Macaca fascicularis: one gene and its partners. The protein of the gene in region 1 interacts with the protein of each later gene in a pairwise test. Links are inferred from orthologs where the notes say so. Each region holds a gene or a part of one and is shown in the gene's direction. Other genes may lie near its edges.

Evidence for each region.
Region 2: the proteins of LZTS2 (region 1) and SUV39H1 interact in binary tests that used the Homo sapiens proteins (3 or more experiments, as listed by UniProt). The two-hybrid records come from large-scale screens. The link is inferred for Macaca fascicularis from reciprocal best matches to the Homo sapiens genes LZTS2 and SUV39H1.
Region 3: the proteins of LZTS2 (region 1) and TEAD4 interact in binary tests that used the Homo sapiens proteins (3 or more experiments, as listed by UniProt). The two-hybrid records come from large-scale screens. The link is inferred for Macaca fascicularis from reciprocal best matches to the Homo sapiens genes LZTS2 and TEAD4.
Region 4: the proteins of LZTS2 (region 1) and STAC interact in binary tests that used the Homo sapiens proteins (3 or more experiments, as listed by UniProt). The two-hybrid records come from large-scale screens. The link is inferred for Macaca fascicularis from reciprocal best matches to the Homo sapiens genes LZTS2 and STAC.
Region 5: the proteins of LZTS2 (region 1) and HOXB9 interact in binary tests that used the Homo sapiens proteins (3 or more experiments, as listed by UniProt). The two-hybrid records come from large-scale screens. The link is inferred for Macaca fascicularis from reciprocal best matches to the Homo sapiens genes LZTS2 and HOXB9.
Region 6: the proteins of LZTS2 (region 1) and NEK6 interact in binary tests that used the Homo sapiens proteins (3 or more experiments, as listed by UniProt). The two-hybrid records come from large-scale screens. The link is inferred for Macaca fascicularis from reciprocal best matches to the Homo sapiens genes LZTS2 and NEK6.
Region 7: the proteins of LZTS2 (region 1) and POLDIP3 interact in a two-hybrid assay, tested with the Homo sapiens proteins (2 studies listed by BioGRID). The two-hybrid records come from large-scale screens. The link is inferred for Macaca fascicularis from reciprocal best matches to the Homo sapiens genes LZTS2 and POLDIP3.

Annotation. Positions count from the first base shown.
Region 1 is NC_088383.1:109,955,244-109,959,259, forward strand, and holds the start of LZTS2 (leucine zipper putative tumor suppressor 2), read left to right. Parts: upstream 1-1,216; 5' UTR 1,217-1,412; intron 1,413-1,808; exon of another isoform or gene 1,809-1,839; 5' UTR 1,840-2,102; intron 2,103-2,746; exon of another isoform or gene 2,747-3,149; intron 3,150-4,008; exon of another isoform or gene 4,009-4,016. UniProt on the Homo sapiens protein: Negative regulator of katanin-mediated microtubule severing and release from the centrosome. Required for central spindle formation and the completion of cytokinesis.
Region 2 is NC_088395.1:48,851,276-48,855,372, forward strand, and holds the start of SUV39H1 (histone-lysine N-methyltransferase SUV39H1), read left to right. Parts: upstream 1-1,297; 5' UTR 1,298-1,461; coding exon 1,462-1,513; intron 1,514-2,388; exon of another isoform or gene 2,389-2,412; coding exon of another isoform or gene 2,413-2,431; exon of another isoform or gene 2,432-2,560; coding exon of another isoform or gene 2,561-2,585; intron 2,586-4,059; exon of another isoform or gene 4,060-4,097. UniProt on the Homo sapiens protein: Histone methyltransferase that specifically trimethylates 'Lys-9' of histone H3 using monomethylated H3 'Lys-9' as substrate. Also weakly methylates histone H1 (in vitro).
Region 3 is NC_088385.1:3,923,042-3,926,427, forward strand, and holds the end of TEAD4 (transcriptional enhancer factor TEF-3), read left to right. Parts: coding exon 1-105; intron 106-2,330; coding exon 2,331-2,483; intron 2,484-2,580; coding exon 2,581-2,694; 3' UTR 2,695-2,886; downstream 2,887-3,386. UniProt on the Homo sapiens protein: Transcription factor which plays a key role in the Hippo signaling pathway, a pathway involved in organ size control and tumor suppression by restricting proliferation and promoting apoptosis.
Region 4 is NC_088376.1:12,056,813-12,061,052, reverse strand, and holds the start of STAC (SH3 and cysteine-rich domain-containing protein), read left to right. Parts: upstream 1-1,440; 5' UTR 1,441-1,752; coding exon 1,753-1,863; intron 1,864-4,240. UniProt on the Homo sapiens protein: Promotes expression of the ion channel CACNA1H at the cell membrane, and thereby contributes to the regulation of channel activity.
Region 5 is NC_088390.1:58,092,806-58,097,050, forward strand, and holds the start of HOXB9 (homeobox protein Hox-B9), read left to right. Parts: upstream 1-1,445; 5' UTR 1,446-1,517; coding exon 1,518-2,034; intron 2,035-4,245. UniProt on the Homo sapiens protein: Sequence-specific transcription factor which is part of a developmental regulatory system that provides cells with specific positional identities on the anterior-posterior axis.
Region 6 is NC_088389.1:19,820,475-19,824,646, reverse strand, and holds the start of NEK6 (serine/threonine-protein kinase Nek6), read left to right. Parts: upstream 1-1,372; 5' UTR 1,373-1,495; intron 1,496-1,714; exon of another isoform or gene 1,715-1,784; intron 1,785-4,172. UniProt on the Homo sapiens protein: Protein kinase which plays an important role in mitotic cell cycle progression. Required for chromosome segregation at metaphase-anaphase transition, robust mitotic spindle formation and cytokinesis.
Region 7 is NC_088384.1:9,003,351-9,006,631, forward strand, and holds the end of POLDIP3 (polymerase delta-interacting protein 3), read left to right. Parts: intron 1-68; coding exon 69-135; intron 136-528; coding exon 529-706; 3' UTR 707-2,781; downstream 2,782-3,281. UniProt on the Homo sapiens protein: Is involved in regulation of translation. Is preferentially associated with CBC-bound spliced mRNA-protein complexes during the pioneer round of mRNA translation. Contributes to enhanced translational efficiency of spliced over nonspliced mRNAs.

The DNA of each region.
Region 1 (4,016 bases):
ATAGGACTGGTCTGCCTACACCCAACTGGATGTTAAGAATCTCCCTGACTCACAGGTTCAGTGGATTGGGAAGAAAAAAAAAAATTCAAAAACATTTCCCCGAGAACTCAGGAAAGGCCTGGCTAAGCCAGGTCCAGTTGGATCTACAGCCTTGTCCTCTAACTGATAGTGTATGTCACACTTGGCTATGAGGGGGCAGCTTTGGTCCTCCAGCAGCTTCCTCTCTGCTGTGGATGGGTTTAATAATAAACAGCTCGGCCGGGTGTGGTGGCTCACACCTGTAATCCCAGCACTTTTGGAGGCCGAGGTGGGTGGATCACAAGGTCAGGAGTTCGAGACCAGCCTGGCCAATATGGTGAAACCCCGTCTCTACTAAAAATACAAAAATTAGCCGGGCGTGGTGGCACATGCCTCTAGTCCCAGCTGCTCTGGAGGCTGAGGCAGGAGAATTACTTGAACCTTGGAAGCTGAAGTTGCAATGAGCCAAGATCGCGCCCGCTGCATTCCAGCCAGGGCGACACAGCGGGACTCCGTCTCAAAAAACAACAACTCACCGAGGTCTCCAGCAGCCCATACGGCCCAGATACCTAAAGACCTTCCCACATGCTGCCTTGAGTGCCATGGCGGGAGGGAGCCCCTGGGGCCTCCCTGCAATACAGGCCAACTTCCTGTTTGTGCCTGTGGGTAGGATTTTATGAGTCTAAGAGAAGCCCAGTCATGCCCCGTGGGGGGTCAGAACCGGCAGGCCTGCTCACCTGGGCAGACACCTACTCTAGGGAGGGGGCTGTGCTGGTTCTGCTTGGGCAGCCCCACGCTGAGGTGTGTGCATGGTGGGGGCAGGTGGGAGCTGCTCTGGTGAAACTCGAGCCTCCTTTGTCTGATTCCCAGGGGTTTTCCCTATATTTGGGGATTGGGTCAAGAGTGGACCGGGTTGGGCTCCCAACGGAGCAGGGAGGGTGGCAGAGTCAAGTTCTATAGGGCAGCTTAGTTTAAGGCAGCCAGGTAGTCGAATTATCGGTCACGAGATGCTCGCCCCCTTCCCCACGTCAAAAACCAAATCCAGTAAACTGTGAAGGCGAAGGCCAGAGGGGCAGCCTCGGCCACCGTCGAGTCCCTGTGGGGCAGGGAACTGGGTAGGCTGTTGGTGGAGTGCGGGACAGACCACTCCCCTCCCTGGGTGGGGGGCGCGGCCTGAGCCGCCCCGCCCCGCCCCACCAGGTCAGGCCAGGCGGGCGCCCGGAGCCGGGAGCCGGGAGCCCGGAGCCGGGAGCCGGGAGCCCGGAACCCGGAGCCCGGAGTTCGGAGCCCAGAGTTCGGAGCGGGCTAGGGAGGCGGCGTTGTCGCGGCGAGGAGGTGGGCGCGCTGGAGCAGGAGCGGGGCCAGAGCTGGAGCCGAGGCGCAGGTGGCGCTGGGTGAGTGGTGGGGCCGCGGAGGTGCAGGAACTCCTGCTTCCCGCACATCCCCGCTCCTGAACGAACTTTCCGCTTCTGGGGAAGCTAGGGGTGGAGTGAGGAGGGGGGTCCGCACTTGGTGGGTCGCCCGCGAAGAGTCCAAACAGGGAAGCGACACGAAAACGCACGCCGACGGGCCCCAAACACGCGTGCACAGACCCACGCCCGCACTTGGGACACGCGAACACACATGCAGTCGGAAAGGACGCGCCCAGTTTTGTACCCTTGCACTCCCAGGGACAGCGCCAATCAGCCCGCGCGGACCCACAGCGGGCAGGGCACTCTGCGGTCGCGCATTGGGTGCGGGAAAGGGGCAGCCCCGTGACCGCCGACGGGGGCGGGCCGGGTGGGACGCACCCAGAGGTTCCTGCTTCCTGGCCGCCCACAGGTGAAGACGAAGACGTAAACAGGCGCCGGGCACGTGACAGCTCCGCACACCAGTGGCCTGTGCCCCCAACCCCACCACGAGGCCCGTTTGCTTGGTTCCAGGCCGGACGGCGTTCCATTCTCCTCCTGGAGCCGGGATAAGCCCTCTCCCAGGAACCGGAGCACAGCGCCCCCTGGAGCCGGGGCGGAGCAGGAGGGCCGGGCTGCTGGGCAGGGCTGGGGTTAACCTGGGCTCCTGTACGTCCTTCCCCCAGCACATTCTTGGTATCTGCATCCCCGAAGGTTTCGGAGACAGGCCCTTGATGGCAGTGGACAGCTGCCCCCGCCTATTCCCGCCAGCCCAGAGAGCAGCTGCCTGAGCGCCTGCGGGTCCCCTTCCTACCCTCACCTCCACTCCTTGCCGGAGTAGGAGTCTCCTCCCCCGCAGAAAATGCATGAGTGTAAACGCCCCCTCAATACCAGAGTGGGCCTAGACCCCTAGAAAAAGGAGGACGAGCCCCTGCCCCCAGGGAATGAGGGAGTGGGCAGTAGCTCGATGCCTTCTTCCCGCCCCACCCCCTACCCCTACACACACGCTGAGCCCAGCTGCCGCCTGAGCTGGGCAGGCTGCCAGAAAGGGGAGGAGGTTCTCGGTGCCCCAGGAGGCAGGGATCAGGGCAAGGCCAGAGGAGGGGGCTCTGTTGGGGAGAGGGTCTCAGTCTGTTCTTGTGAGGCTGAGGGTCTGGGGTGAGTCTGAGGGTGGCTGGGCTGTGTTTCCCTTTCCAGGGAAAAAGAAAAACAACCCTGTCCATGGAGCTAAAAATAGAGCTGAGAGCCGGCCAGGGCTGTGGCCTGGAAGGGGGGGATGCTCCTTCCTGGGGCCCGGGCGAGCTCTGGCAGGCCTTGGCCCTGCGGGGGAGGGGGTGGTTAGGGGAGAAAGGCTGTCTTTGCCCAGGGATGCAGGCATCAGCTGACCTGACCGGGTCACCGAGACCCCTAGGGGAAAGGCTGTGCGGTAGAATATTTGCGAAGCATGGCTGTAAGAAGTTGTCTGTGTGAGTGACTGTGAATAGAGGCTGTCAATGCGTGAAAGATGGTTAGGAGACTAAGTGCATTTGAGACAGTGACTGGGTGCGAAGGACTGCGGATTGTTGTGGAAGCCTGTGCCCAACAGGCCTGTGACACCGTGTCTGTGTGTGAGTTGGACTGGAAGATTATGGAAAGAAGGAACGCGGACCCACGTGACAGCTGAGACTGCTTGTGGCTGCGTGGTGAGGCTGCATGTGGGAAAGGTCGCGTGGGTGTTAGGGAGACTGTATTGTGTGCGAGAAGGTGAGAATATTTGCGACCTTGAGAAAGTGGAATGTTGTCTGCCGTGCGGCTCCTGTAGGTTTGGGCTGTAGGCTTGGACCGGTTTGCCCCAGTGATTGTTGGGGAGCCAGGGGCCGCTTCTCTCCGAGAAATGACCTCTGTCTTAGCAAGCGGTCCCGAGGGGAGGCTGGGGAGCACGGGGCCGCGCCAGAGGCCGGCCTGGGTTCGCGGGGAAAAGGGCACCGTGCCGGGGAGTGGGGCAGGGCCCGCGTGGTGGGGGGCGGCTGGGTGTGTTCTTCGAGCGGGCCGCCAGGTGGCGCCGCCTCTGCGAAGCCCAGGTTGCCGCCTCCAACCCGCCCCTGGTGGGGCAGGTGCGGACCCAGCCTCGGCCTCCGACTCGCGCTAGGGCGCGGGGCCCCGGCACCGGAGAGTGGGGGACGGCCGGTCGTCGACCTCTCTCGCTTGGGACTCTGAGGCTGAGAGCGTGTCAAGGAAGCTTCGCTTGGAGAAGCGGAGGGGGAGGGGCGGCCGCCGCCGTGCCGTGGCCCTTTGTGCTGGAACAATGACCAGCTGCCGCTGGCCCCGGGGCCCCGGCTGGGGCGGAGGGTGACCACCGCCGCCGCCGCGTCGAGCCGAACCGAGCCGCCGGACACGCAGTCACAAGGCGTCGGAGGCAGGGCTCCCGACTGCCGCCGAACAGCCCCTACGTGCGCCCCGGCCGATTCGCGTGACGCGGGTGCCTGCGCGTGTCCCTGCGCGTGTCCCTGCGCGTGTCCGCGTCCCGGGGCGGAGACGCCCCTCGGACCCTCCCCCGCGCGGCGCCGCCCACTCGCACTGGGCGGGGGCTGGCCAGGGCCGGGGGAGCCGCGGAGGCGGGGCCGGGCCGGG
Region 2 (4,097 bases), on another chromosome or scaffold:
AGTCCAGAATGATTCACTTTCCAGATGAGCAGGAGACACCCACCCCAAGGTCACTTACTCGAGGTTTTACAGACCAGTTTAAGAAACAGCCGGGCGCGGTGGCTCACGCCTGTAATCCCAGCACTTTGGGAGGCCGAGGCGGGCGGATCACAAGGTCAGGAGATCGAGACCACGGTGAAACCCCGTCTCTACTAAAAATACAAAAAATTAGCCGGGCGCGGTTGTGGGCGCCTGTAGTCCCAGCTACTCGGGAGGCTGAGGCAGGAGAATGGCGTGAACCCGGGAGGCGGAGCTTGCAGTGAGCCGAGATCGCGCCACTGCACTCCAGCCTGGGCGACAGAGCGAGACTCCGTCTCAAAAAAAAAAAAAAAAAAAAAAAAAGAAACTGCCTAAGGACAAGTAATTTAGTAAATGGCAGAGCCTGGATATGAGTCCAGGTAGTCAGGCTCCAGAATCCAGGCTTTTGCCCACTACTTTATAGTGGTTTGGGGCACCACCGGCCACAGACCCTTTTGTCTCCCCCTCAGATCCAGACAGGCAGAGGTCCTGTCTTAAATCACTCTTGTGGGTTGGACAGGTCTCCTGGACACCCAGGAGTGGGAGAGTCCTGCTGCCCGAGGAGACTGGGGGTACATGAGGACGAAAATCTGATTCTGCTCGAGAAGGAATAAGGGAGGGAAGGGGATGCATGGTGGGACTTCTGTTCCTGTCTGTCCCACTCAGGGCAAGCTAGGGCTGACGGAACCTCAGACCAGCCAGTCACTTCTTAATGAGCTCACAGCTGGACTAGCAGGCAGACAGAATATCTGTTTGGTTAACTGTATAACCGTTTGGTTGACTACAGAACTCATGGAGTGACAGGGAGAGGGGGCAATTTGAGGAAGTGACAGCGCGGTTTCCTGAACATCTAACTGAATGACAGCCTGCCTAGGACTGGCTGGGGCTGGTAGCCTGACAGTGGAAAAGACAGGCAGCCTCCTGAGGACCTTGCAGGCTGACTAACTGATGGTCCGTGGTGCTACTGCCTGCCTGGGTGGCCAGATGTTGTGAATGACTATTGTCAGGAATCACAGCTGGCCTGGGGGAATGTCTAGATGTTATACTGTCTGGCACTGTGTAAAGGAGGGCCACCTGGGGAAACCTCAGGCTGACTGATCAACAGATCCGTGGCTGCTTGCTAGGCAGCTGTATCTGGTAATCAACTGTCCACGCTGCTCGAATCACAGCATGCTGGAGGGCCTGGCTGGGTGCTCTGACTGACTGATCACCTGACAGACGGTGCGGTCAGTCGGATGCTGAGAATGACTGACGATGTGATGAGGGGCGGATTGAACGAGTCACAGGCCAGCTGGCCAGCAGCAAAATCAGCATAACCGTCTGACTCGATGGCTGTACGTGGTTACGGACTGTCTGCTCTGATAGAATCTCAGCTTCAACGCATCCGAGGAGACTGATTGACCAATGGTGGGGATGAGTCGCCTGAGAAATGACAGACTGGCTGACCCACTGACAGGTGGTGTGGAGGCTTAATCCTACCTCTAGTTGCTGTGACTATTTGCTTTGAGGGCCTAGCTGGGTGTTGTGACTGATCATGGTGTGAATGAGAAGTAATCTGAGGGAAAGACAGTGATCAACTGATAGTGTCCGACAGGGCTGTATTAGATGCTGACAATGACAGCTTGCCCCGACCTAATCACAGCCCGCCTGGGGGCATGGCTGGATGCTGCAGTCTATGAGAGGATTTAGCCAGAGAGAATCGCAGCTGGTCCCAGGGCTATGGTGGGTGGAGAGGAGGACTAATTGAGGACAGGACGGTCATAGGGAATGATAAGGCTGGCTGGCTAACAGTGCTGTCTGCCTGCCTCCAGGGAGTCGCCGCTGGCCCGGGGGCACAAATGGAAACCGGTATTGACTGCCCGGCAGTGTGGATGGGGGCCGGGGGTCTGATTAGGCATCTGTCTGGTGCGACCGCCTGAGCGGTTGGATGGGGCGCTAGTCCACCTGGGAGCCCCGGCCTACTTGGGGTTAAAATGTGATGACGGGCTGACTGACGGTGATAATAGGGAGTATGACAGAACTCAGGAGCCACTGTGACTGGCTGATAAGGTGATTGGCTAGCAGTGTGACAGACAGACCAGCGCACGGGCAGGGCCTCGGGCAACTTTAGCTACCGCCACTGTCGCTCCCGCTGCCGCCGCCGCCCAGACGCACTCTGGGAAAGTGCGGCGAGCACCCGCCTCCGGGACCGAGCCGGGCGGCAGGGAGGGGTTCGGTCACGGCTCTCCGGTTGGTCCGCGCGGGTGCTGCGAGTCGCGAGCCGCGGCCAATAGGCTGCGCGTTCCCGGCCACGCCCGCGCGAGCTCTCTTCTCGCGAGGCCGGCTAGGCCCGAATGTCGTTAGCCGTGGGGAAAGATGGCGGAAAATTTAAAAGGTGAAGCAGTGGAGACAGAGGCGCGGGCCCGCTGGCCGGGCCGGGTGGGCTGGAGGGGTGGCGTCGCCGGCTCGGGACCCCGGCGTCTGAGGCCCCGGCGCCGGGAGCCGGAAGCTCGGCGCGGAAAGGATGGAGCTCGGGGAGCGCGGGCCTGGTGCGCGGGGCTGGGCGGGGCTGAGGGGAGGGGGCGCGTACCTCGGAACGCAGCGGGCCTGGGGCTAAGTGGGGACGCAGGAGGGGGGCGCGCGCCGCAGATCGCGACCGGACCAGCGCGCGCACGCGCGGGGGCTTGTCGGGGAGGCCGCGCCCGCGCGCGGGAAAATCGGCCCCCGGTGACCGTTACCCATTCGGTGTCCACGCGAGACGCCGGAAGGGGAGGGAAGATAAGGGGGACAGACCCCCCCTTCAGAGTGCGGGGACAGGGAACTCTTCAGGGGGAACGTATCGCCTCTCGGCGTGATGGGGGAAGGGTTTGGAATAGAGGATCCCCCAGAAGAGGGAAATGGGGCCTTCCTAGTAGGACAGCTGGACTCCCCCATGTGCAGGGAAAGAGGGGTGACTCAGTTATGTTGGGGGGCCCCTCTATGTGACAAAAGCCGCAGGGAGGACGGGTTCCACAAGTTGGGGGACCTCTGAGGGGTTCAGGAGAGTCCACCTGTGGCCAGTTCCGGAGCCAGCAGCTGGAGGTATTAGTTGGGACCACTTAAGTGGGGTTTCGAATGCAAGTGAAGGAAGGGGTTTGCCAGGAGAGGAAAGCGTGGGCACATGCGGGCTCGGTCTCCACTTGATCTTGCCTAAGTGGGGGGGGTATGGCTTGCACACGAAATAATTTTGAAAAGCTCTTGTACGTTTTTAGGTTGACATCTAGAGTTTAAGTGTGATTTTTGCAATGGGAGGCAGAAAATATTAAACATTTTAAAAAGATGAAGTAGGATGAGGACTGACTGCCCTTGGAATGTTTTGAGACGTGATTTGATAAAATGGCTTCTAAAGCACATTGATTAAGAATGTGCCTTGAATCAGAAAGAAATCTATTTTTTAAAATCTCTGTCTTACAAAATTTTGGCAGCCCCAGAAATATACCAGGTATATTTAAAAGAATCAGTGTCACTAATCTGTACTGCTTTGCATATAAATTCAGAGCATAACCCTTTGGATGAGCTTTACTCTTCACAGAAAGATGGATGAGACAGAAAGTCAAAATGTAGTGTGAAAAAATATACCTTGTGGATTTAAGGCACCCAGATTGATCATTTAAGGAGCCTTCCTGTAATGTAGTATCATTCCACAATCTCTTGCTCATCATTCCGAAATCTAAAAAGCCCTGAAAACTGAAATCCTTTTCTTAAATTTGGCACCATTTATGGCAAAAGTAGATTATAAAGTGGAACTATTCTGTGAGGCTATTTTATATCTCTATTTCTCCTCTTTAATGTGGGAAATTCATACTTTTGCTGCAGGACAGTTAATGCATTTGATTATAGCTTGATGTCCCGTGGCCACGTTGGGGGTGTTAGGTGATGTATCCTAGAACTAGTCTTGTAAAATCCAAAAAATTTTGAATTCCAAACCACATCTGGCCCAGGAGTTTGAGATAAGGGATTAAAGACCAGTCTTTCCAGTTAGCCTTTGTTTGGTGCCCTGGAGGTTTTAATCTTGTCCTCCC
Region 3 (3,386 bases), on another chromosome or scaffold:
TCCTTCTATGGGGTCTCCAGCCAGTATGAGAGCCCCGAGAACATGATTATCACCTGCTCCACCAAGGTCTGCTCTTTCGGCAAGCAGGTGGTGGAGAAAGTTGAGGTAGGAGGCCACCCTGGTGGGTGAGGGGCGCTCCCCAGAGCCATTGCTCCCCGTTCAGGATCTTCCAAGCACGTCCTTACAGGCGCCCCCGGTCCTCTCCAAGATCAGAGCCGCAGCACAGGCAGGGCCCAGGGGCATCTACCTAGTCCAGCCCTCTGGCTTCACAGTAGAGGCCCAGAGAGAGCAGAGGCCTCCCCCGACCGCCCGCACGTGGTCACACCGCTCACTAATGCAGAAGCAGGCCTGGGTGCCTAGGATCTCCATCCGCTGCTCACTTTGCTCCATGAATGCCTAAAACTCCCTGATTTTCTACTTGTGGGTGACCTGAAGACCCCGCTCTAGTGGACGTTACAGAAAAGTCAGGCCTGCCTTTTAGGCGGTGGTTTCTCCCACTCGGCTAAACCCCCGGCCAAGGGCAGTGCAGGACAGTGGTGAGGAGCACACATTCAGGGGGATCCCCACCCAGCCACCCTGCTTTCCGGTGGGTGTTTGGGGGGTTGTGATAAAATCCTCCGTTTATCTCTAAACAAGGGCCAAGTTGTCTTCACTGTCCGTGACACAGTCTCCTGCAGCACCCTGTGTTCTGGGCCCGCTGCACAGTGGCAGTGACAAGGAGCTGGGACTGAAGGCCTCCGACCCGAAACACCTGTGCACTCTGAGAGTCCAGGACCCTGTGCCGCCCACACACTTGTTAAACCAGACCCCCTCGCCATGCAGGCCGGTCTGCGTCCCTCTCCTCACCCTGTCCCCAGCTTGGTCTGAATTCATGAAGTCCTAGTCTCACAGCCTATCAGTTATTGATAACCTTCCTCATGCCAAATGCAGCCAGATGCCAGGCCAGCATCAGGGAAGAGAGATTCCTTCCCCCAGTGCTTCTCCACCTGGCTGCACCCTACAGTCTCCTGGGAGCTTTGGAAACACACCAGTGCCTGAAACCCGTTCAGCACCCCTCAATCTCTAGGGTAGAGTCCAGGCATTATTGGTTTTTAAAAAGTGCCTCCGGCCGGGCGCGGTGGCTCAAGCCTGTAATCCCAGCACTTTGGGAGGCCGAGACGGGCGGATCACAAGGTCAGGAGATCGAGACCATCCTGGCTAACATGGTGAAACCCCGTCTCTACTAAAAATACAAAAAACTAGCCGGGCGAGGTGGCGGGCGCCTGTAGTCCCAGCTACTCCGGAGGCTGAGGCAGGAGAATGGCGTGAACCCGGGAGGCGGAGCTTGCAGAGAGCTGAGATCCGGCCATTGCACTCCAGCCTGGGCGACAGAGCTAGACTCCGTCTCAAAAAAAAAAAAAAAAAAAAAAAAAAGTGCCTCCAATTATTTATTTCTAATTTATTTTGTAAAACTTTTGAGATAATTGTGGATCCACTTGGGATCATAATCCCATGTGCCCTTTACCCAGTTCTTGCCCTGGCAATGTCTTGTATAACTAAAGTATAAAGGGGACACCCAGGAAATTGACATTGATGCAGTCCACCAAGCTGGTTCAGATCTCACCAGCTTTATACGCGCTCCTTTGTGCACGTGCATGGGTGCGTGTAGATATGGAGACTTGCATGATCACCACCAGACTCCCGGGGGTCCCTGTGTATCCCCCGTGGTGTCCTCACGTACAGCCAGGATTGAGAGGCTCCTTCCCACTGCTCCTGTGTCTCCTTAAGCTCCCCTCCTGCCATCCCCGGTTCCTGCTGGTCACCCGTGGAGGAAGGAGGTCTTGTTTAATGTCCACCAACCTAACAGGGTGACTTTTTGTGTGTGTGTGTGAGACAGTCTTACTCTGTCGCCCTGGCTGGAATGCAGTGGTATGATCTCAGCTCACTGCCACCTCCGCCTCCCAGGTTCAAGCGATTCTCCTGCCTCAGCCTCCAGAGTAGCTGGGATTACCGGCGCGTGCCACCGTGCCTGGCTAATTTTTGTATTTTAATAGTAACAGGGTTTCACCATGTTGGCCAGGCTGGTCTTGAACTCCTGACCTCAGGTGATCCGCCTGTCTTGGCCTCCCAAAGTGTTGGGATTGCAGGCGTGAGCCACGGCCCCTGGCTGGGGGTGACTCTTTTCTTAAGGGCCCCTAGGCCTCCTGCCTTTCCTTCCCATGGAGTTGGGTCTGGGTCCTGGGGCTTCCCATGGAGTTGAGTCTGGGTCCTGGGGCTTCCCATGGAGTTGGGTCTGGGCCGAAGGTGGTCAGAATGGGATTCTAAGCCCCTGCTGTCCCCGGGCCCTGCAGACAGAGTATGCTCGCTATGAGAATGGACACTATTCTTACCGCATCCACCGCTCCCCGCTCTGTGAGTACATGATCAACTTCATCCACAAGCTGAAGCATCTCCCCGAGAAGTACATGATGAACAGCGTGCTGGAGAACTTCACCATCCTGCAGGTGTGCCGCGGGTGTGGCTGGAGTCTGTGTGTGGGTAGCAGCGAGGGCGTGCCCTCGTCTGGGGCCTTATTCACCCTTGTCTTTTTCTCTCCCACAGGTGGTCACCAACAGAGACACACAGGAGACCTTGCTGTGCATCGCCTATGTCTTCGAGGTGTCAGCCAGTGAGCATGGGGCTCAGCACCATATCTACAGGCTGGTGAAAGAATGAGAGACTCGGGGAGCAGGGAGGGGGGAAGAGACGTGTGTGCAGGAAACGGGGACGTGGGGAGGGGACCTGCAGGGGCAGCCCCTGAAGTGCCGAGAGAGCTGAGAGGAGCAGTTGTGACTCTACCCAGGAACAAACTGTGCCTGAACCTGCAGTGCCCAACCCCAAATAAACCCAAGATGCTGTGTCTTTTCAGAGGACCTGGTCTGGCTGTGTGAGCCTCGGGAGGGACTGGGGGAGCAATGGGGCCATCTGGGAGGCAGGCCGGAAGCAGTGCTCAGAGACGCACCCCGGGCATTTCTGAAGCCAGCATCCCAATGGACTCAGCCAGGAACATCACCAGACCCTGGAACCGAAGATGTGACGGTCCCCGTGCTGCCTCTCAAGCCCCTGCACTGTGGCGGTGGCCACGCCGGGAGGTCCGAGGAATGCATGGGCTATGCACCCGCAGCCATGTGCACCCCTGCTGCACTCGCAGGACGGTTCACACAGAGAGGCCCCGTCCCCGGGGGGGCGGGTTTTAGGTGTGGAGGTGACAGTTGTTGGACGGGGACACCGTCAGAACTCTCTGGATAGTTTCCGTCCATCTCAGTGGATGCGGATGCCATGACTATCTTCCATGACCACGCTGGGGGCGCTGGTTTCAGATCGAAGGAGACTGAGGTGGGGAGGGCAGGAGGCTGGGAGGGCAGGAG
Region 4 (4,240 bases), on another chromosome or scaffold:
GGCACAATTCTGATACAGAATAGATGCTTGATAAAAATGTGTTGATATGGCTGCTCCTGTCATTGTGTTTGTGACTTTGGCTACTAGAATTTTGTCTCTATCGAACAATCAGGAATTGCGTTGTGAGACGGAAAAAACTGAAGCCATTTTAGCTGGCCAATCTGGCCCAGTACTGAGGTTCACCAGAAAATTTAGAGCATTTTGAAAGCTCAATGCTGAGAAAGAGGTTGACACTTAGAACAGTAGCTTTCAATTGGCATCTGGGATGGAAAGAGTAAGAGTCAGTTCATTCTAAAAGACATGAACTAGGGAATGCATGCAGGACCAGACATATAATTTGTAGGGTCAAGTACAAAATGAAAATGTGGTCTCATTAAATATTTTTAACGAATTTCAAGATGGCAGCATCCGTGCGGGGCCCTGTGTGACTGCACAGGTTGCACATCCATGAAGCTGCTCTTGCAAACGTCTACAGCTAATTTTAAAAATCTGAACAGAAGTTTGCAATTTTCTTTTAAAAAGTTGAGGGTATTTTGTATTAATGGGGAAAAAGAGGCTTTCAAATATCTAGCTGTATTTCCTTTCCCCGCACACTGAGGTTGTCTTCAAAAGAAACTGGACCCTCTGTATCTTTTTTCAATGGGGCTATCCGTATGTTTCCAAAAGATTAAGCAAGGCAGGCTGGTTTGCCCCTCTGTGAACAGTCCTCAACTCTTGCTAAACTGCAACATCCAATTGCTCTTCAGCCAAGACCTAGCCTAGATTTGAGGCTCCACAGTCGGAAATGCATGGATTTTGAAGCCAAAATGTGTTCAAATTCCAGTTTCGCCAATTATAGTTTAGTGACTTAAAGCAAATTACTCAGCCTTCCTACAGCCTCGATTTCCTCATCTATAAAATGGAAGTGATCATCCCTAGACGCATAGAGTAGCTGGGAGGATTAAATAAGGTAAAAAGAAAGGGTTTAGCACAGTAAGTGCATAACAAACGAGGAACAGGTGTCCATAGACACACCCGCATTATCTCTCTGCTTTAGATCAAAGCTGAATGGAGGAAGCGCTGTGACCGTGATTCAGGGGACCCCCACTCCGATCCCTGCTCTCTGTCACTGAACCCTATAAATAGCTTAGCTAAGTCACTGTCTCTCTCAGTCACTATTCGTTCGGGTGAGGAATGAGGGAGTTGTTGCAAGCGGTCCTTTCTGGCTATATCATTCCAGAAATCAAAATAGAAAATCAAAGATTTTCTATTCTTTGGGGTTTGGGTCTGAATTTTCAGCATCCCCTCTACAGAATCACCCGCACTCTGTGCCGGCGCGCGCCCAGCCTTCCCCCAGCCCTCTCCAGGGCGCTGCCCCCTGCCTGCCCTCACTACTCCAGGCGTTGACCGCGCAGCCCCGCCCCGGAGCTGCCTCCCCGCCTCCTTCCTCCTCCTGTGGGCGAGCTGAAGCCCGCTCGCCCGCTGCCGAGTGGCAGTCACGACTGCGAGGTCGCCCGCGAGGTGGCCGCGGGCGCGGCGGGGCGGGGTGGGGCAGGGCGCACTCTCCTCCACGCCGGCGGAAGTGCCGGGGAGGTGGGCAGGGCCGGGCGGGAGAGGGGGCGAGGCTGGAGGAGGGCACGTCGGCGCCTCGGCGAGGATGGGAGTCCCCGGGACCCGGAGCTGAGCAGCCTGGCGCGCGGCGGGCAGGGCGCGCAGGAGGACAGCAGCCTCGCTGTTCCTCCGGGAGCCCAACACCGTTCCCGCGCGGCCACGATGATCCCTCCGAGCTGCCCCCGCGAGGACGACGTGGACGGGCTGCCCAAGGAGGCGGCGGGCGCCGAGCAACCGCCCTCTCCTGCATCCACCAGCAGCCAGGAATCCAAGGTACCGAGCACACTTGCCCCAAGAGAACACAAACTCACTCTCCTCTCCTCGCGGTCCAGCTTTGTCTCTCCTCCGATCTAGCACGGGCGTGGGGGTCTGAAACTTGCTAGTTCGCCCCGGGCTGGAGGACTTGAACGTCCGGCAGGACCCGCTGAGATTTGAACGTCCGGTAGGACCCGCTGCTCACGATGCTGGACCACATCCCTGTGGACCCAGCCTTCTCGCCCACACATCCACACGCGCAATTCATGGTGACTCCGGGTTCGGAGATCGATTTCTTGCGGGGTGGTGGCTTGGTTGCTTTGTGCTTTGAACCTGCTTGTGTCCAAAGCACGTGTAGGTGGGTAGTAGGTGGCTTTTGAAGGCTGAGGGATGGAGACAGCCGAGGGATACTCTTCCAGAAAAGCTTGAGTACTGGGCCAGAAAGGCATGTATGTATCCCAAGGGTCTCAGAGACCTTTTGCATAACAGGGATCACCCCTACCTTCAGATACCACTCACTAGAAAAGAAAAAGAAAGAAAAAGAAAAAGGGTTTGCCTGCGTTTGTCTGAAAGTTGATGTTCCTCTTGTGAAAGTTAATACTCTAAGAACTTACACTTGCTTTTATGAAAGTTACACTAACACGTATACACAAAACCAAACCCGCAGCACTTCTCCTGTCACTGTTACACTTCCTCTGAAACTCTCGTGGGTGCCAGGCACATGTTTGAAAATCTTGGAGGAGGATAGAGTAAAATGTGGCTGCTGGCAGTGCAATGCCAAATGGCAACTCAGCTGGTGGTGGAAATCCTAAGATGGAGTTTGTAGTTACGTGGATTCTTTTAAATGTAGAGTTCCTGGCTCTTTATTCTGATTTCATTGTGCGATCCCCAGGCATTTGGGGAATGTGAGGCAGTCCGTGTATACCAGCAAAGGAAAGGGGTTGCCAGTTTGTAGGATAGGGACAGGCCAGATGGGGCAAGGAAAAGTGCGATCCTGTCTCCCTTCACACGCATCCCTGGAAGCCATTGATACAATCAGGAGAATGAAAATCACAGCCTGAGTGGCTGTCTGGATTTGGTGTGATCCTAGGCACTGTACATTTCCCAGCCCCCTGAAGTTAACCAGCAATGATAGTAATCTAAGCCCGAAAGCTTTGCCTCTTATTTATTTTTATTTTTTTTCTGTTAATTACTGGCTGCCAGACCTGGGGTATATGTGTCAACTTTTTTAAAACTCAGTTGGAAACTAGGGAAAAAGCCCCCATCTTCCAGAGTCATTGTGAGGAGTACATGAGATGCTCTAATGTCCACCTGGTATACTGTAAGGACTCAATCATGTTTATCCTTTTCCTTCCTGAAATAAAGAAATGGACTCCATCTCATCTCAAATGATCCATTCCAAAGCAATCTGATAACCCATACATATGCACTACCTCTCCTTAGTCAAAAAGTTTCTGGGTATCATTGCCTCCCATTGAACATCAGTCCCCAAAGTGATATAGGTTAGTGGCCATTTTAGAGGAAAGCTAGAATTCTGTAAATGAATGTAGCTAAACTCAAGGGTAAAACTAGTATTGAACTTTTTGAATTGGCCTGTTGCTCTGCAGTAGGTGTGTTCTGGAAAGGGCTTAGCATTTGGGCAAACAGTGATATGGTTCAAATGCATTATATGGATTTGCTATTTATAGATGTCCTAATGGAAATTATTTGGCAGAGCAAAAACCACGTATGTAATGCCCATAATTATCCACCAATTTATCTGGCTTACAGTTTTGTACAAATTAGTTTTTCTCAAAGTGTTCTATACACCGGATATGTGTTTCTACATTCCTAAATTTGATGTCATGGCCTCAGAAAACTTAATTAGTGGAGATGAACTATGGGGGTCCATGAACCCTAGGAAATAGAATGCAATATCGTATGCCTAAATGTGAATTTTTCTTGGCATAGCATTCATAATATTCTCAAAGAGATGCATGCCCCTTAAAAAAAAAAAAAAAAAAAAAAAAGGCTAAACTGCTAGTATGGTTGTGGTAAGGTAAGGCAGTAAGATGGCATGCAACTGGAGAAGAGGAAGGCTCAATTCATTCTATTCTAGGAAGACCTAGCTTAAAGCTTACTGGTGTCTATGAGGATCTTTGACCCAGAGCGTGAGAGCTTGGTGACGAAAATGTGAACAAGACGGTAATAAGAAATTCCATCTTACTCTTCCATGAAGTCATCTTGTTTGTAAAATATCTTGTGGGACAAACATGGTTCAGGCCCCTTTGGGCATTAAACTCTCTCAAGGAAGACTTTGAAAATTACTTTTTTAAAAGATTTAGGGTTTTTTGTCTTATTATAAGAGTAACAAATACTCTTTGTAGATATTTGAACAGTCCAGACATACATGATG
Region 5 (4,245 bases), on another chromosome or scaffold:
TCCCTGCCCAGGGCCACAGAGTAGATATATATAAAAAGGGCTATTTGGAAGTTCCAGTGAGGCAGTCTGCAGGGGTTAAGTCAGCGAGGGGAAGAGACTGACTGTGGGCTCCCTGTCCACACTGGCCCCTATATCGGTGTTTGGAAGTCTCCAGAGCAGGAGCCCTGGGTGAGAGGAGTGATACAGGAGGGCTGAAAACTCAGCCCAGGCTCCTTCCTCTTTGGATGGAAGGGGAGATAACTTGGGACCCCTTCCCTTGCTGACTGGGGATCCTTTCCCAGGCCTCTACTCTGGTGACACCTCAGGGAAGTGTCCTTAACCCTTTCTGCTATTCAGCTCCTTCATCAGGGCAATTTTAGGGGCCTGGGTGGTTATTCAGTTATTCAGTGGAGAAAAGGAGAAATGGCAATTCCCCCCCCCCCCCGCCGCCCCCACCTCACCACCACCATCTTAAATCCATCCTTCTGGCCAGAGTCAGAAAGGCCCAATAAATGTAAAGGCGCTCTGGTTCCTTGTATTAAACTCTTTCCTAGGCTCACGTTTCCGGGGCCTGATGGATCCCTTTAACCTCAAGCAGTTTCTAATTTCAGGACAAATAGTGGATTCTTGGACACTCAGCCGTTTTATTCACCTCTCTCCTCTTCCCTCAGCTACTGAGGGGTCCAGGGAAGCTCCCAGTCATGTAAATCTCTACAAATAGTGCACAGAGAGCCCCCTCCAAAGCGGACAACGTCCTAAAATCCCCAACTTTTCCCCTCATCCTTTTACTTCATCTCCTGTGGATTGCTGCTGCTGCTGTTGTTTAATAAACATCTTCTGTCAAGGGGACAGAGAAGAGGAAATGAGGGCCTGTGGGGTGGAGGTGGAGGTGTGTGTTGGGGGGGACAGGACCACCTCCTCTTCCAGTATCCTCTCGGGCCTCTGTGGCTGCTCCCCGGGCTGGGGCTCTCTCCCTCCCTCCGCCCTTGCTCTCCCTCCCTCCCCGACCCGCCTGGGGAGAGGGCTCCACAGCCTGCGTCCCTCCCGAGGCAGCCCGCCGCTTCCCTCCGCCTCTCCTCCGCCCCCGCCGCCCCATGTCGAGAACTGCCCCCCTTCCTGCAGCGGGAGGGGGGACCGGGCAGCCGGCAGCTCAGGCTGAGGTTACGTGGCCGCCGGAGCCCTGACGTGATAGCACATTGCATCAGCATAAAACAATCCATCCTCGATATGGAATGCGGTGCGGACGGATGACAGCGAGAGCGCAGCCCCCTCGCCCGATTGATTTATGTCGGAGCTGACGCTTTATCAGGCAGTCGGAAAAACTTTGACCAATCATTTTGCAAGGAGCGCTGAGCCTGGCTGCTCCACTGTACTTTGTTGGCTGAGAAGTTGAGCAGGGGGTGGGGGTGGGAGGGTGGGGGGCTGGGGGGGTCGCGTCCGAAAGCCCTCACACCGGTCCGGGTGCCACCTCTCCCTGCTTGGGCGCCGCCGCGCGAGCGCTTCCCTTCCCCCTGCGAGCGCCCGGATAATGTCTGAGAATGTCCATTTCTGGGACGCTTAGCAGCTATTATGTCGACTCGATCATAAGTCACGAGAGTGAGGACGCGCCTCCAGCCAAGTTTCCTTCTGGCCAGTACGCGAGCCCGCGGCAGCCGGGCCACGCGGAGCACCTGGAGTTCCCCTCGTGCAGCTTCCAGCCCAAAGCGCCGGTGTTCGGCGCCTCCTGGGCGCCGCTGAGCCCGCACGCGTCCGGGAGCCTGCCGTCGGTCTACCACCCTTACATCCAGCCCCAGGGCGTCCCGCCGGCCGAGAGCAGGTACCTCCGCACCTGGCTGGAGCCGGCGCCGCGCGGCGAAGCGGCCCCGGGGCAGGGCCAGGCGGCGGTGAAGGCGGAGCCGCTGCTGGGCGCGCCTGGGGAGCTGCTTAAACAGGGCACGCCCGAGTACAGTTTGGAAACTTCGGCGGGCAGGGAGGCCGTGCTGTCTAATCAAAGACCCGGCTACGGGGACAATAAAATTTGCGAAGGAAGCGAGGACAAAGAGAGGCCGGATCAAAGTAAGTTATAAAAAGTGAGGAAATACCCAGGCCGAAGGCCAGGAGGGGGCGGGGAGGGGAAAGGCAATAAACTGCCGACCATGTGAAGGGAAACTGCGGCGGTGGCCGGAGAGCGGGCCGGGAGGAGGGGAGAGGAAGGAAAGTCGGAGGGAAGGGGGAAAGCTGCGTGCTCTGGAAGGTGAGACTGAGGCCGCCAGAGGAGCGCTGCCCCCACTTCTTCAAGTCGTGCGGGGAACAGGGGCTCTGGGATCGACTTGCAGCTCTCTCGGCCCTCTTTCCCCTGTCTCCCGGAGGCCCCAGCTGAAAGCCCGGCCAGAGACCGGCGACGGCCGGGAGAGGAGCTGGTGGGGCCGGGGGCCAGCGGCCAGCGAGGCGGAGAGCCGGCGAGGGCAAGGGCCGGAGCGCACTGGGCTGCCCGGGACCGTGCGGCTGGCAGAGCTCCCCGCTCCACGCGCAGACCGTAAAAGCCGGCCAAGGGGAAGGGGGAGGGGGCTCATTAGGATTTTATTTGCGATGCAACAGCTTGGCGGAGAATTGTTCCTAGCAGATCTCGTGCTGTAGCCGCTCAGAGTCCGCAACCGGCGCCGGGAGGGGCGGGGGAAGCCCAGGACGCGGTGACTGAGCCCCCTCCCCGGATGCGCCGGCCCCTCCCCGGGAGCCTTCCCTCTGGTGGCCCCTCTCCTCCTCGGCATCTTCGCCGGGGCTGCCGCTTCCTTTTCTGCGGTCCTTCCCCCACCCCGCTGCTCTCTGCGGGGCTCCCTAGCCCCAGCCCGGGCTGTCCGCCTCTTGGGGAGTCGGGGAATCGCTTCCGAATATCGGGACATCCCGGGGAGAGGAGGGGTGGGGGAAGAGAGGGTTGCAGAGAGGCGGAGAACTTTACCGTTTATGGGTAGTTTCCCATCACCTCCCACTCCTCAAAAGCACCCCAGTCAGAACGCCAAGTCTGGCTGATTTCCAGGAGGTGCTACTAGGTGAGAAGAGAGGGTTCTCCTATTACTTATTTTTAAGGGCCCTTCGGCGAGGGAACTCAGCCCCAAACAATGACTCGCAGGCTGGTGAATCAAGTCCTCGTTTCTTACTCTTTTTGGGAAGTAGGGATTTTTTCGTCTCTCCTTGCCCTGCTAGGTTTCCCATTGACGGAGTGGCCCCAGGGCTCTTTAGTGCATCCTTGCCTGCTGGAGAGTAAAGAGCTGCTCCATTCCCTGCAGGGTCCTGTCACCTCCAACCCGCCAGGTGGAATCCTAAGAGCTGGCATTTGGGGAAGACATTCTTCCCCAACTCTCCCCGCACACTCCCAAACCGACCCACCACCCTAAAACCCCAAACTCTCCCTGAAAAGCCCATTATTGCAAGGCAGCCATTTGGCTAGAATCAATTATTAACAGTTTTTTCCCTCTTTCATATTTAATGCAGCTGCGGGTCCCATCCCAGGCAATCACATTAAGGAAATAGCACTGCAAATTGGTAAGACAGGGTACTTAGTGTAGGATGAACCAAATTTTTTATATATAAAAAAAATCCAGTGTTTTTCACTTGGGGAGAAGGAAGCTAGTAGCTGGTGGCTATTATTTTTAATTGGCTTAGCTTTATTTGGCAACTTTTTTGAGTTCCAGAGCAGGGGGAGAGAGGGTAAGAAGAAGAGAAGCCTGTATATATTTTTGTTTCCTCTCTTCCACTCAGTTACCCTCTTCTCCCCTCCAGCCCCCACATAGGACCAGTTAAGGCTAGGTGTGCTGTGAAGGGCTTCCTTTTACCTCCACATCACCCCTGGCTCCCCACCTTGGGACTGGAGCAATTTTACTCCCCAATTTCCCTGAACTTGTGTTAGCCAAACTGTGAGCTGAGCAGGAGCTGAAAAGGAGAGAGACTATTGCAACCATAAGTTATCTGTGAGCCCCTGGCGCTCCCCTGTCCATAGGCTGGAGTTGATAAATGGTTGCAATTGCGTTGCGTGTGAATTGGAGTGTGCTGCCTGTTTGTGGCTCTAAGTGCAGACCCATATTTGTGGTGTGTGGTGGTAACAGAGGGGGAGATTTCTACACAGACACACATGCCTGCTGCCATGTGGTCTAGAGACACAAGTTTGTGATCAAGGCAGGGTGTACTGGGACTAGACTGAAGGGCTGAAAGGTCTCTTGGGGTGAAGTGACACCCCAAATGTGGTAACTGAACAGACATCTCACTTCCCCACCCAAATCCTCCTCTCACCTC
Region 6 (4,172 bases), on another chromosome or scaffold:
CAGGGCTATGCTATTCCTGAGGCAGGGCTGCCTAGTAATTGGAACACACAGGTACTAGAATTAGACAATCTGCCGTCCACTTTCTAGCGCAACCACTTACCATCTGCGTGACTCTGAACAAAAGAATTTGCTTTTTATTGTTGTTGTCCAGGCTGGAGTGCAGTGGTGCGATCATAGCTCACTACAGCTGCTAACTCCTATGACAAGAGTTCCTCAAGAGATCCTCCCGCCTCAGCCTCTCGAGTAGCTGGGACTGCAGGTAGGCACCACCACACCCAGCAAATTCTTACATTTTTTTTTAATAGACATGGGGTTTTGTTATATTGCCCAGGCTGGCCTCAAACTCCTGGCCTCAAGGCATCCTCCCACCTCGGCCTCCCATAGTAGTGGGATTACAGGTGTGAACCACCACAACCAGCCTGAAATTTCATTTCTAAGCCTCATTAAGCCCATCTGTAAAATGGGCACAAGGGTAACGTTGGCACACATGGTGGACGCTCAGTTGGTGTCATTATTACACATCACGGCCAGTTAAAGCACCTTCACTCATTTGGCAAACAGAAGCCCGACACGCATTCACCCTGTGCCCAGTACAGTGCTGTGCCTCAGCAGGCAGTCAGTGTCCCTAGCTCCAGCCCTCCTGGGGGGCAGCGCAGTTTTGAATATGGAGGGGAAGCGGCAGGGGTGGAAACGACCCAGCCAGGAGCGGCTGCTCTCGGCGCAGGGAGGAGGTGAAGTGAGAACTGAGCTGCTTGGGTCCCAGGGAGGCTCTGACTTCTAGAGGGCGCGTTCAGCATTCTTTAGTGGGGACTTTTACCACTTCCAGAAACCTCTGCACATTGGCTCTTGCTGGACCCTGGGGGCCACAGGAAGTGGGAGCTCCAGATGAAGAGTCGCTGGCACTTTGAGGGCGGGGGACAGGGCCTTCCCCTCATCGGAATACTCTTGGAGCCTACTTCAGTGCCTGCATTCAGCTGGTGCAAAATAAGTGCTTGTTACTTTGCCAATTTCAGTATAACTAGGACTGTGGCAGGAGCAATGCTAGGTGATGGGGAATCCGAAGATGCACGGGAGGAGTTCAAGGGTTGGCTGCCTGCAGACCCTCATCGTAAGTCTAAAGCCAGAGAAGAGGGGGAGACGCCGGCCTGCGCCCTGTGACTCTGGGCCTCAGTCTTCTCATCTCTGAAATGGGGAAGGGGTTTCTCTGCCGAGCGGATCGGCCGCAGGACTTGGCGGAGTCGAGGGGTCCAGGCCCAGGAAGGACGCCGTCGGGGCGCCCCCCGCCCCTCAAGCTTGCGTGGCGGCAGCGCGCACGAGCGCAGGGGGCGGCGCGGCCCCGCGGCGGGGAGGGGCGGGCGCGCGCGCGCGCGGCGGCGGAACCGAGCGGACTGGCGTGCGGCCGCGGCGCCGCCAACTCGTGTGGGACGCACCGCTCTAGCCGCCCGCGGGCCCGCGCACCGGTCCCCCCGCGGCAGCCGAGCCCGCCCGCGCGCCGGTGAGTAGCCTGGGGCTGGGGCCGGGCCGGTGGGGCCCCGCGGGCCGGGGAGGGGCGGGGGCCGGGCGGCTGGGCCGTCACCCCCAGCCGGGCCGAGGGCGGGCGCGCGCCCGGGGCTCCGCGGGGGAGAGCGGGAGGCGGGCGCGCGTGTGGCCGCGCGGGGCTGAGCGTGTCGGTGGGCGGGCGGGCGGGCGCGGGCGGGGGCGGCGGCGTGTCCGCGTGTCCCGGGGTGTGCGCGTCCCCGGCGGGTGTGCGTGTGCACCCCGGAGCGTCTGGTGGCGTTGTTGGGGTGAGTGCGTGCGGGGACGCGGGCATGGCTCCCCGCTACCCACTTCCCGAGTGGGGACGACGGGCGGAGGAGTGTGCCGGGCGCCGCAGGGAGTACGTGCGGGTTTCAGGGAGTGTGTGTGTGCACGTGTGTGCATTCCAAAGTGATTTGTGTGCACGCACATGCGTGAGCCCAGGAGGGCGAAAGTGTGCCTGTGTGGGTGTGAGTATAACGAGTGTGCAGGACCGCGCGAGCGTGTTTATTACTGAGGTTGAGGGCCCCCTTTGCGCCCACCAGGCCTTTGCACAGTGATGGCCCCCAAGCCAGGGAGCCCGTGGAGAGAGAATCGGCCTGGCATGGGCTGGGGGTCAGGACTGGGCCTGATCTGGTGAACCAGGGGCCGGGAGGACAGACTCAGAGCCTGGCTGGGCCTGACAGAGGCGAAGGTCTCAAAACCAGGCTGTGGCAGGGCCACTGGCAGGACCCTCTCTGCACACACAGGCTGGGCGAGCGGAGGCTGTGGTGGGCCTCGGCCGGGCACCCGAGGACGGTGTTTTCCTAAATACCCTCCGGGCTCCCCTGTCTTTGTTCTTGACTCTTTTCAGCCAGGCCTGGGGGGCTGACCTTATACTTGCCTGTGTATGTGGGTGCCTCTCTGCCCGCCCTGCTAAGTAGATGGATCTTTTGATTTATGTATACCTCGCTTAGGCTCCAAGTGTGAGTCCCAGGACGGTAACAAATTGATCACAGCGGGCTTGGGACACCAGCTTTCGAGGTCTGTCCTTGCAGTTTTGACTGACAGGCTTTTGTGTGTGTGTGCGCACTCTCTAACTGTTGAAAATCTTTGCAGTTGAAAGTCTTAATTGTTTTAAGGCAAACTTTAGAAACTCCAGAGCTCCCTACTTGCTCTGACTTTTCCAAATTCAGCTTGCCTTTTCTGGGGGAAAATGTCGCCTTAGTTTGGTGTACAGTACGTGCAGGCAGGTCTTGAAGGCACGTTTAAAAACCGTGTCGTTAATGGAAGAAGAATTTCATTGAAAGGGACGCAGAGCCGGCTGGAAGCGCCTGCCCCGGACTCAGCGAGTTTGAGCTTACCGAGTGAACTTTGGACGTCTTCTTTTAGCAAACAAAACCTGGAAGGAAGCAAAAAAGACCCACATTCTTTTTCTTTTTTGTCCTGAAAATGAAAAAAAGAAAACACCTTCTGAGTTTGCTGGAAATGCCCCCTCTCCTTCCCCCATCAAGGCCAAGCCCTCCCTGCATCCCCCACCCCCAAATAAAATATGCCTGTGGGGAGCCGTGGAATGAGTCACTCCCTGGCAGAAAGCCTGATGGGCAAACATTTGGGAAGGTTCTTGCCTAACTTCCCAGAAGAAAAGGCCCAGGATTTAAAATGGTCCCTGTGGTTTGTCAGCCTCTGCCGTCCCGTCTGCTTCGGAAATGACTAAAAAGTAGTTTGTATCTCCACAAAATAAAGTCTCAGACTGAAGGCCTTAGACCCAGGTTGGTCTGGATTTAGAGCTGTTTGGGTTTCCAGAAATGGAGCGCCCGGCTTTAACTGGTGGCATTTCTGGTGGGTTTGAACAAGGGCAGAGGAGGGAAATGGGGAGGAGGTTCCCATTTACAGAGCAGAAGGGACTGTGTGCTGGGAGCCGTTCTAGGGTGTGTGAATCTCCCAGTGCTCTTCTGCGACAGAAAATGCTTTTGGTTTTGTGCACAAGGAAACTGAGGCACACGGGGGTCAAGCCTGTGTCCTGGGGCAGCTGAGAGGAGGTGGGGGCAGAATCCTAAGTCACCTGCCCAACCTCACAGCCTTTCCTCTTTCCACTGCACTTGGGATATGGTATTTGACTGGCTGAGGTGCACAGACCTAGTGCTGAGTACTTTAACACACATCCGTTCATTTTCTTCTCATCGTAGATAGGGTTTATTATCCCCATTTCACAAATGAGGAAACCGAGGTTCAGAGACGTGACCTGCATAATTTCGTTAAAGTAGCACCATGACAGATGGTCCCCATTTACTTTTACTTATTTATTTAATTTTGAGACAACGTCTCTGTTGCCCAGGCTGGAGTGCAGTGGCGCAATCTCAGCTCACTGCCCCCTCTGCCTCCTGGGTTCCAGTGATCCTCCTGCCTCAGCCTCCTGAGTAGCTGGGATTACAGGCACATGCCACTGCACCCAGGTAATTTTTGTATTTTTAGTAGAGATGGGGTTTGACCATGTTGGCCAACCAGGCTGGTCTCAAACTCCTGACCTCAGGTGATCCACCCAACTCAGCCTCCCAAAGTGCTGGAATTACAGGCATGAGCCACCATGCCCGGCCATGTCCGCATTTATTGAGGATATACTGTGTGCTACGTCTGGTGCCGTATTTCCCCCAGTCCACTCACCAACACTGAGATGG
Region 7 (3,281 bases), on another chromosome or scaffold:
GCCCTTCTCCTCTTTTGTGAGGAGCTGAGGTCTCATAGCAGAGCCTTTTTCTTTCTCTGGTTTTTCAGGGCAGCCGATGAAGTGCAACCTTCACATGAATGGGAACGTTATCACCTCAGACCAGCCCATCCTGCTGTGAGTTCCAAAGGCGGGGTGCTGGGGAGAGGGAACTCCGTCCATCTCTTTTTATTCTAATGGGTAAACTGCCTGCATTCCTTTGTTCTAATGGCAGCTGGTTGTTTCAAATGCTTAAACTCAACCAAAATGGTTTGCTTTGTCATTTCCCCAGGGGTTGACCCTACAGGGGCTAGCATTATGATCTCGTTCTCAGCCTTCTGATTTAGAAATATCTGAGTGGAAGGTGGAGGGGAGGCTGCTTGGGTCTCCCAGCTGTGTGCATCATCATCATCCTAGGAACACAGAACTCCACCTCATGATTGGCTCTGATGGAGACAGAGCCAGATGTTACCCCTCTTTTTGTTCCCCAATTAGGTTTTTTTTTTTTTTACCCTTCTCTGCTCTCCACAGGCGGCTGAGTGACAGCCCATCGGTGAAAAAGGAGAGTGAGCTGCCTCGCAGGGTGAACTCTGCCTCCTCCTCCAACCCCCCTGCCGAAGTGGACCCTGACACCATCCTGAAGGCACTCTTCAAGTCCTCAGGGGCCTCTGTGACCACGCAGCCCACAGAATTCAAAATCAAGCTTTGAGCAGGGGAGTGAGGCAGCTGGAAGTGGGGGCAGAGGAGGGTGGCTCTGTTTCCCCAAGGCAAAGCTTGTGACCAATGGGCCATCGGACTGGAGACCCCTGATTGTGGGAAGGGTCACCAGGGGTAAAGAGCTTCCTCACTGGATGGGACCCGCATTTCTGTGTTGTGTTCTGCCATGTGCTTTCTCTGTACGTTAACGTTTCCTGTAGTATGTTTCTTCTCCATCTCATCACCAAGTTAGGCTTGTGTTTTTCAGTGTGCCTCCGCCAGCCTCAGCCCCAAGCTGATTTCTTATCTGGAAATGGTACACTGAATTCTCTGGGTGGCTTTCTTGTGGCCCCATGGGATGCAGGGCGGGGGCTGTCTGAAGGACCCTGCTTTTTCCAGGGGCCGACGGGCTGCCTGTCCTTTGTGTGTATTAAGCTTTTCAGACAACGGAGGGGATGGAAAACCCTGGTATCCTGATGGGAGCCAGGTCGGCCTGAGAGCTGTGCCGCTCCTCTGCCTGGTCATTGGAGGTGCCTGGGTGGGGAGCAGGTCTCAGGCCTCTTGTCCTCTCCCCAGTGGCTCCAGGTCTCACTAATGGCAAGGGCAGGATGAGGCTGCACCGCTGGGAAGAGTGTCCAAGCTCTTGGCTTGGAGGCCCGTGCTGTCTCCGCCCAGAGGAAGTTCTCCAGAGTTCACCTTTCCCTTTTCCTTGAGTTGTGCTGAATGCCCTACCCTAGCTCTCTTTCCCTTCTGGGTGTCTCTGCTAGGAGGGGGTTGTGTTGTGAGCCCTCCTGGTTCTCACCTCGCCTGGCACTCATCACCCTGGTTTTGTGCAGCTGCCAGCTCTCCTCTGGTTGGGCCTTTCAAAGGTTCAACCTCCCATTCTGCAATGCTGTGGGTTAGGAGCTTATTTGAATGGAAGAGGTCGGTTTGCTCCTGGCTCTCCATTTCTGGCCTAAGTTGTCAACAGGACAGTGGTCAGGAGTGCCTGGAGGCATATATCCAGCTGCCACCAAGGGGCACTGTTTGTTCCCACTTACGTGAGTGACCCATCCATCCATGACCAGAGGGTTATTTTCCTGCCTTGGCAGAGGAGGAGTCAAGGGAGCAGGGCAGCTCTCCCAGGCAAGCTGTTTCCCCAGCATAGGCACAGGCAGTTGGGACAAAACTATAGAGCCCAGGGGCAGTCCCTGAATGACCAGGCCAGTGTTGTCCCTGGTGTCACTGAGTGGTCCCCTGCTGGTTTGCTGGGAATGAAGGGAATCCAGGCTGGCAGAGCTGGAACCAGTTGGGGAGCACAGTTCTGGGAGCTCTGCAAAATCAGTAGCAAGTGCTGGGAAAGGCGCATGCCAGAGATACTCAAGAGTTCCCGAGACTTGCTTGAGGCTGACCCAGTGAAGAAAAACCCAGAGACTCATGTTTCCAGAGGTCAGTCTGTCAGGCAGGAAGGACCCAGGGTTTGAACTCAGCTTCAGTCTGCAGACTCTGAGGCTGCCCAGGCCGGGAAAGTCCAAGGAAGGGGCCTGGTGGTGCTCCACTTCCAGTTCTTTAAAGAATGCTGCTTTTTATTCTCTTAACCCCTTCAAGTGGGTGCAGACTTCTTGTTAGCAGCTGGAAGACATTCCTCCCACACTTTACCCTTCCTGGCCCAAGAGAGCATCCAGAAGGCAGTTGGACCTGGTTTTTCAGGTACTGGGAACAGGGGACTCAGTGCTTGGACTCTGCTTAGGGTAGGGACGGTAAATATCCTGCCTGCATGGCTTTACCCTCCCTCTGATCCCAAAGCAGGGATCTTCTGGTTGTCACAGAGTTTGATTGAATCTAGCTGCAGCCACGTGGCCATCTGGAGCTGGTGCTGTAGGTGACCATCTGGTACATTGAGGGGACCTGTTTGCCTCCTCCACTCTATAAGCAGTAATCTTGGGAGACCGGGAAGAGAAGGTGGTGGGCTAGTCCTGTGTCCTCCTTCACTTCCCATGCCCCTGTGTTACCCGTCTGTGTCTCCCATGCAGAAGGAGAGGAAGAGGCATTAAGGGATGAAGGGTGATTATGTATTATCCATTTCTGAATAAACATTTGGTATTCCTACCTTTGAGTTACTTTTTTTTTTGAGACAAAGTCTCACTTTATTGCCCAGATTGAAGTGCAGGGGCACTATCTTGGCTCACTGCAACCTCCGCAGCCAGACTCAAATAATCCTCCTACCTCAGCCTCCCAATTAGCTGGGACTACAGGCGTGCATCGCCATGCCTGGCTAATTTTTGTAGAGATGGGGTTTCACCATGTTGCACAGGCTGGTCTTGAACTCCTGACCTCAGGTGGTCTGCCTTCCTCAGCCTCCCAAAGTTGGAATTACAGGCATGAGCCACCACACCCAGCCAAGGGTTTTGATCTTCAGGGATTTCAACATTTGGAGTGCAACTTAATTATTTAAAAAATAGGTTCCTGATATGATACCCAGGATGGTCTTTAATTCCTGGGCCCAAGTGATCCTCCTGCTTCGGCCTCTCAAAGTGTTGGGGTTACAGGCATGAGCCACTGCTCCCCTCCAGGGATGCAAATTATTTGATACTCCTTTCTTCAGAAGA